Linked DNA regions of Yarrowia lipolytica. The protein of the gene in region 1 interacts with the protein of each later gene in a pairwise test. Links are inferred from orthologs where the notes say so. Each region holds a gene or a part of one and is shown on either strand. Other genes may lie near its edges.

Region 1 (3,913 bases):
TCAAATCTTGATTACACTTTGCGCCTTTGCTTATTCCGGCCAAACCATACTTGTGTCGATCTGCCAATCGGGTATCTCTGTCTTCTTTGATTTGCCCGATGTACAGTAAGAGTTTGTAGACCAGAGCCTGTCGAAAGAGCGATCGAAACTGGGTTCACGGTCCATTTTGCACTGAGCCTAAATACTGTACAAGGATGTCAACCCCAAATACCTGGTATAAGTACGACATTGAAATGGAGGTGCAATGCAGCTACACATAGAAAAGGATGAGGATGAGGATGGATCGGCTATACGTTACCCGAGAGGCGAGAGGTGGGATCGAGTCACGTGACCGTATTTCAGTGTACTGTACCAATTTTACTTCTGACGTCCCTTTAAGTGCGGCGGTGGAATCAAGCACAAAAGTACTACTTTACGAGTATAGGCCTCGGCCATCGTTCTCACACAGTTGTTTCATTATTGAATCATCAGTTCATCGTTAATTCATTATCTACTGCGTCATGTGTACTCCAGCAGAACTCATCATTCCCCGGCCTAGATATCCTTCAGAACCCACCGCTTGTCGCTCTTAGGACCCTGTCGCTCAGCATAGTGCTGAATGGTGGCCGTGACCATCTTGCGTGTGTACTGGGGATACTGCTTACAAAGCAGCTCGGTCAACAGCGTCTTGTTATCGTCGGATCCATCTACTCGCTTCAAAAGAGCAGTCAGATCGTCTCCAGCAATGAGCTTCTGAGGCTTGGCAGCAGCCAGAAACTGTTTCGTGGCTGAAGCAACCGCTGGGGAAGGTGACAGAGTTTTGGAGAGGACTGCAAACGGGCTGAGTTCGGTTTTGGTTGTAGTAGATTTAATAGCTGTACCAGAAGCTGATGTCGCACTAGTCATTGTCACGTCACTCTTAGTATCGGTCTTCTGCTCAACTTTTGCAACAGTCCAATAGTCTTTGAATGGGTCAATTGCCCCCTGGACAATCAGTCCTCCAAAAGTCATACCAACCATATCTGAGCAGCCCCAGACAACAACAGGTTCCTGGGCTGTCGTGACCTTTGAAGTCATGGTGCTGGGACTCTTGGCATCATCAGAACACACAAAGTCGGCCATTTCGTCGTCCTCCATCTCCTCGTCTCCACTAATTTCATCATCTTCAATATCTTCTCCTTCATCTTCCCAGTCGGCCTCACTGTCGTACTCGTAGTCCAAACCAGGCACCTGGAAGAGAGGGTTCTGCAACAGATCACGCGAGCAGCTCTTGGAGTACGTGCCCAGGTATGCGGGTCGCTCGTCACCATAGAACTGCAAGTATCGTCTAGGAAGAGCATTGACCAGCGTGTCTAAAGGAGTACCGTTGTAATTATCAGGATTGAGACCCAGAGTGGCAGCGGTCTGGATGTGAGTAATGATGGTTTTGACGGGAACAGGTGGTTCTTCTGCTTCGGCGGTGTTGCTGTCATCAGAAAGGTTGAGACTGTTGAGCCAGTCAACAGGATCCTGATCCATCACTTCACACTCCGTCTTGTCTGCCATACACACGGTATCTTTGATGTGGAAGGGTAGGAAGTCTTTATCAAAGTCCAAACACTTGTCACTGTTAACAGCTTCCTTCTTGGTCTTCTTTTTGGTCTTCTTGTTAAAGAAAGACATGATTCGAGTCTGTTCTTGCTCCTTCTTCTTGAGTTCAGCTTCTTTTTCAAGTCTCTTGGCCTCCTTCTCTTCAGCCAACTTAGCCTTCTCCTCTGCAATCTTGGCTCGCTCAAGCTCCTTCTCTTCGGCAGCCTTCTTTCGTTCCTCTTCTCGTCGTCGTTTCTCCTCCTCTTTCCCTTTCTTCCTCCTCTTTAGCCCCCTCTTCTCCTCCTCCTTCTGTTTCCTCAGTTGTTCCTTCTCCTCCTCTTTCTGCTTTCTCAGTAGCTCTTTCTCTTCTTCCTTCTGTCTTCGAAGCTGCTCTCGCTCTTCCTCTTTCTGCTTCTTGATCTGTTCCTTTTCAAGTCGCATCTTTTCTTTCTCCTCGGCAGAGATCTTTCGACGCTTGGGTGACGGTTCGGGCGTGGTAATCGTGCACAGAGGCTTGTTGTCGGCCATTACAGGCTTGTCACATCCTGCATTCTGCTCACTTGCGCTCATGAGTCGAATTGGAGAGCTGTCCATGGTGTTGTGGAGGAAAGAAGGAGGTTACAAGGCCCAGCCTTCACGACGCGTACCCAAGAGCTTAATTGAAATGATTTGGGAGACGCGTCCAGAAGTGGTAATTAGTTGAACGCGGAAGTCGTGAGCGTGTCACGTTACCAAATATAATTCAATTGCAACTAATAGGTCACGAGATATTTTTCGTCACGTGTCTGTTCAACTATCTCTAATCTCTCACTGACTCTGTGCATCTCTCTTATTCATAGTGTACATGCTGTGCGAGTCGCTAAAAATACTTGTCATAACCTGAACCTATTAATAGTCCCAACTCCGACGCCAACCTGACCTCCACAATTACACACCACAAACAGAACCCACTGTTTCTCGCTATAAACAGTCGATCAGGTCTACGAAGGTGGTGGAAAGAAACGTCTGGTGGCGAGACTGCGATCCAAACACCCACCGAAACAGTCCAGGCCCTGGAAATGCAAGGTCCACATTTTCACGGGAGTATGCTGATTCCAACATTTGACTGAATTGTCAGATCATGTAAATAATTGTGGTTGTTGGTTGCTGGGAGCCGCAACCTACAAGGTGAGTACAAGTACTTTCATTAGGATGCTTGTTTTAAATACAGTAGCTAGCCTACGTCTTCTGTTGTGACTCGAATAGCCTGTTTTGACAATCTGGCGAGTCGCCACTGAAAACCTCAACACAGCACCTACGGAAATAATCGCAGTTTACGGTAAGCAACGTAATGAGATTGTAGTACATTATTTATATAGATCGAAAGCTACAGGCACCCTTATTTTTAATGCTGTTATTCTTCTCTCTGTAAGTCCCCTCCTCGTCTTAGCAGCGACACTGAAATCGATTTCTTCCATCAGTATTCCAGACCTTTGCAACCTAATTATGCATCACCAGGAGTGTTCAAAAGACAGATAAGAAATCATTCTCGACCGCCACGAGCCCATCAAGCATAAGTTAGCCACACGATCGTAGAATCCTATCACGTGATCAGTCCTCCACTCATTATAAATATTACTAATCTTCGTCTTGCCACCTCACGGGTTTCTCCCTTACCCTATTCCCCGCATCGAGGAAGATGTCGGTTATTGACGCTCTAACAACTCTCCAGAAACCCACAGACGGAAATCCTGACTACGAAAACTGTCCACGTGATCACTCATGGCACGTGATCACTCATGGTACATGGTATCAATCCATATTTGTTTTCCTGTAATGTGACCACCGCCTCGTCGCTACCTTCCCCCAACTATTATAAATCATTTAGAGTTGTTCACTCTTTTATCTAAAATCGAGACTTGCATCGACACTCTCTTCCACCACCATGTTACGTCTAAAGTCGCTCAAAAAACCGGTCCAGGCCGTGGTTCGACGTTTCGCCACCACCTCCGCACCCACTCTCTCTGTCGGCGACAATATCCATGGCTTCAATGTTCTCAGAACCAAAGAGATCCCCGAGTTTGATCTGCAGGCTACCCTGCTAGAGCACTCCACTGGAGCCCAGCATCTGCACATTGCTCGAGATGACTCCAACAACGTCTTTTCCATCGGCTTCAAGACTAATCCTCCCGATCGAACCGGAGTTCCCCATATTCTGGAGCATACAACGTTGTGTGGATCGGAAAAGTACCAAGTCCGAGATCCCTTCTTCAAGATGCTTAACCGATCTCTTGCCAACTTCATGAACGCGATGACCGCCCAGGACTACACCTTTTACCCCTTTGCTACCACCAACGCTACCGACATGAAGAATCTGCGAGATGTG
Region 2 (3,715 bases), on another chromosome or scaffold:
AGAAGAAACCCAGAGGTACTTGATAGTCAGGCTCATAGACCTGATATCGAGGAGCTCAAGAAGGGCAAGAAGTTACCTATCTTCATTGTAGGCCAGACGATTGCTATTATTCTCATCTACACCCGTTCCATCTACCGAATCATCGAACTAGCCGGAGGATGGCACGGACGGCTGGTCATCAACGAGGTGTATATGCTGGTGCTCGACGGTCTGATGATGGTGCTAGCAACATACCTACTGGCCATCTTCCACCCCGGCTTCATGTTTGGACGAGTGCCCATGAAAGCAAACCTGCACAAGAAGAAGCTGTCAAACATGAAGGAGGAAGACCTCAACTCGAGCCACAATGACGAAGAACGTGTCGAGTGGTAATTGCATTATAGATTGTATGATAAATTATTTAATTGAGTGATCCATATTGAATGTAGGTCTACAGGTACTTGTATCATGTATTTCTTTTCTGCTACGTTTCATAATCCTTGTAGTTTCATGATACAGAATAAATTAATGTCATCATCGTCTCATCTCTCATCGACAGCAACACCTTACTAATCTTTCACCTTCCAAACATGCAACAAGGAATTAAATGCAACACTTCCAATCACACCCTCCAGACTGCGATTCCATCCCACCTCGGTCACCTTCTCCGTGTGTCCAGCGTGCACAAACAGCTTTTCCGAGCCGTCTTTCTGACCTATCTTGGAAATGTCCCAGATGATGGCCCGTTTATCTTCAGATCCAGACACCAGCAGTCGAGGATTATGCGGGGACCAATCCAACGAGCCCACAGGCCCCTCGTGACCTACCAGTCGGCCAATAGGGGTCTGTGAAGTGGATTTGATGTCCCACAAGTTGACGATGCCGTCCTCTCCAGACGTCGCGACCACCCGATTGTTAAACGGGCTGAAGGCGACAGATAAAGATGCGGTTCTCGTGTCTGTCTCATAAACTGTGCTGTTGTCAGTTGTATCGATCACATACAACTTCTGATCGTCTCCAACACTTGCAAATAGAGTCTTTTCAGAAGGATGCCAAGTGACGTCGTTGACAGAGCCCTGATGATGTATGAAGACTTGTTTGGGAGCAATAGTCACCATCTTGCCATCAGAGCGGCTCTTGTAGTCGTTAACCAGATCCCACAGTGCCACAGTTCCGTCTGAAGAGCATGTTAGCAGCTTCCCTCGATCTTTTGTGTTCCAAGACAGGCTCCAGCCCTCAGAATTGTGATGACACAGAGTCGCATCAGCCTTGCATTCGTCGTTGGATGGGTTGGCTGGATGCTTGGACTTGTCGAACATGAGCACGGATCCATCTGCTCCTATCGTAGCGATGATGTTTGGGTTCTGGGGCATGTATCTGACTCTGTTGACTTCTCCGAGCACAGATATGTTTTGTGACACATTTATTCCTGCGTGTGGATGACCCTGGTAGCCGCCAATCTCCTCCGTCAGCGCAGAGTAGTCCTGCAGGCTGAGCGTCTCGTCGTTTTTGGGGATCTTAACTTCTCCAAGTCGAATAACCTCCGGGGTGTCTGTATAGCTCGACGTGAGGAACCGGTGGGCCGTGACAGAGGCATTCTTGGGCGTGTCGAGATCGGGGAACCACTGGAATGACAATGCTGGGCTCGGAAGCATCTGTGACATGAACAACGAGTATAGCTGGGGGGCGTTTTTCTTCCAAATTCGATAGTTCTCGTACGAGAGCAGCTGTTCGGGCGACAGTTTGGGCGTCACGTCGTCCTCGCAAGTCTGTGGCAGTTCCCTAGCTTCTGTGTCCATTGCTGTGTCGTGTGTATTGTGCGATATGTTTCCAGTTGTGAATCAGTTTTAGTCAAATGAAATATGCGTGAAATGGACGCGTCTCTCAGGAGCTTAATAAGAGGTACAGTGGGGTCGTGAATGAGGTCAGTCCGACATACGAAATAAATGGGGTAAAATTAGGATAATTGTAATTACGATATTATTGTTCCATTAATTCTTTTTAATTTGATTTCATTTTTCTTTTGACTGTTCTTTTCTGGTATCAGTGCTGTGCTGCTTTCTTCAATAATGATTAGAGAGTATATTATTGTCATTACAGAGTATTTATACTTGCAGGTACATTTATCAAAAATATTCAAAAACCACAATGAATACTCCAGCCGCTCTGTAATTTTCCCCTAAATTATCCAATTTTTCTATCGTCTTCCGGTCAACCATCAGTGTCGTACGCACGCACGAACCCCAGTGACGCACTTCACCACTTGCAACTTAATTTACTACTTGTAGACCACAACATCCCCAACATGACCGAAATGGACCCGAACGAAGAGCCATTTTCTACACAAGATATACCCGAGCTGGTGGAGGAGGAGTCGGACGAGCAGCTGACAGAGGAAGGCGAACAGTACGCCCCTGGGCCGCGCATAACCTTTTCAATGCCTGCTATTGGCCGTTTTCTAGGCCGATGTTGCATCAATCTGGTCCTGCCCTTCATCAACGGCATGATGATGGGCTTTGGAGAGCTCGTAGCCCATGAAATCGGCTTTGCATGGGGCATGAGCGGTGCTAGAGTGAGTATAATGAACAGGCTGATGAGAAGAATGTGATGCTGTGAACAGTGGCGATTGCATTGAACGGCTGTGGTCGTTTGAGATACACTTCATTTTTCTTGCCGACGTGACGTCGTTGCTATTGCTTGATGTGACGAGAACTTGGTTCTTTTTTCTCTGGTGTTGCTCTGGCTTCTGAATGACCATAATGTGAGCCTCTTACACGAGGATCAGGCACGGCATGGCTATCTGAGAGAGTCGCAGCAGCAAGGCTGAAATATGGACCACATAAAAGTGAGGAGAGTAAGACACCTCGTCCATGCTTGCACCTGGACCGCCCGAATACTTCCTACAGTCGCTTATCTAGTGAATTCGTCGGTATCGCCAACTTACTGGCCACAGATATGAACTGGGCCTGGTCTCACATGAAGTGCTCACACCCTCATTGCGACATCTTGATGCCACCACACACATCCTAACTCAGGTGCGACGAAAACGAGTGGCCCCCGGAGTGGAGGAGGTTCACGAAGACGAAACGCAGCCCGACGGGCAACGACGACTGTTACTGCAGTCTTAACCGATAGATTGATGCATTTTACAAATATATTATGACTGGATAGGGACGAAGGGTTCTGTAGTGTCCCGGCTATTAAGGCTTGATGGAAAGCATTGGGACGACCACGAGAATGTCCCCACTGGCTTTGAAAGTGATCTCCCTCCAACCTCATTTCGTGTCAATCATGAAACTACAACAGGTACCAGCACTTCTACGACACAGGAGAGATACCTGGGCATGTCATACCCACACCAAAGGCGTACTGATGGCTGCATGGCACAAGGTGCTAAAGAGGCTTAGGATTGTTACTGTGTTTACAGTATGTACAGTATACAGTGACGACTACATCTCTCTACATTTCATCCGGTTTTGTTAACAGTACACAATATTAATTCTGATTTGCGGTTTAGACCATGGGCTCAGCGTCCCGCTTGGCGACGGTGGGCTCTCGGCTCATGGATGGGGAGTTGCCCCAGAGAGAGTCCTCCATGTTTTCGACCTTCTCTGACAGATCCTTGACATCAGTTCCGAGCATCTCTTCCTCAGCAGTGACTCGCAGCTTGAGACCAGGAATGTGGTCAACCACGAAACAGATGATGTAGGTGAGGACGAAGGACCAGGCGACACAG

Evidence for each region. The genes of interacting proteins can lie anywhere in the genome.
Region 2: the proteins of YALI1_F28550g (region 1) and YALI1_B18260g interact in binary tests that used the Saccharomyces cerevisiae proteins (3 or more experiments, as listed by UniProt). The link is inferred for Yarrowia lipolytica from reciprocal best matches to the Saccharomyces cerevisiae genes RLF2 and MSI1.

What each region holds. Positions count from the first base shown.
Region 1 is NC_090775.1:2,853,327-2,857,239, reverse strand, and holds YALI1_F28550g (uncharacterized protein), read right to left. Parts: upstream 2,143-3,913; coding exon 535-2,142; downstream 1-534. Other genes in the region: YALI1_F28537g (uncharacterized protein), read left to right, coding at 3,473-3,913.
Region 2 is NC_090771.1:1,824,292-1,828,006, forward strand, and holds YALI1_B18260g (uncharacterized protein), read right to left. Parts: upstream 1,779-3,715; coding exon 549-1,778; downstream 1-548. Other genes in the region: YALI1_B18236g (uncharacterized protein), read left to right, coding at 1-372; YALI1_B18265g (uncharacterized protein), read left to right, coding at 2,285-2,551, 3,015-3,107; YALI1_B18292g (uncharacterized protein), read right to left, coding at 3,493-3,715. UniProt on the Saccharomyces cerevisiae protein: Acts as a component of the histone chaperone complex chromatin assembly factor 1 (CAF-1), which assembles histone octamers onto DNA during replication and repair.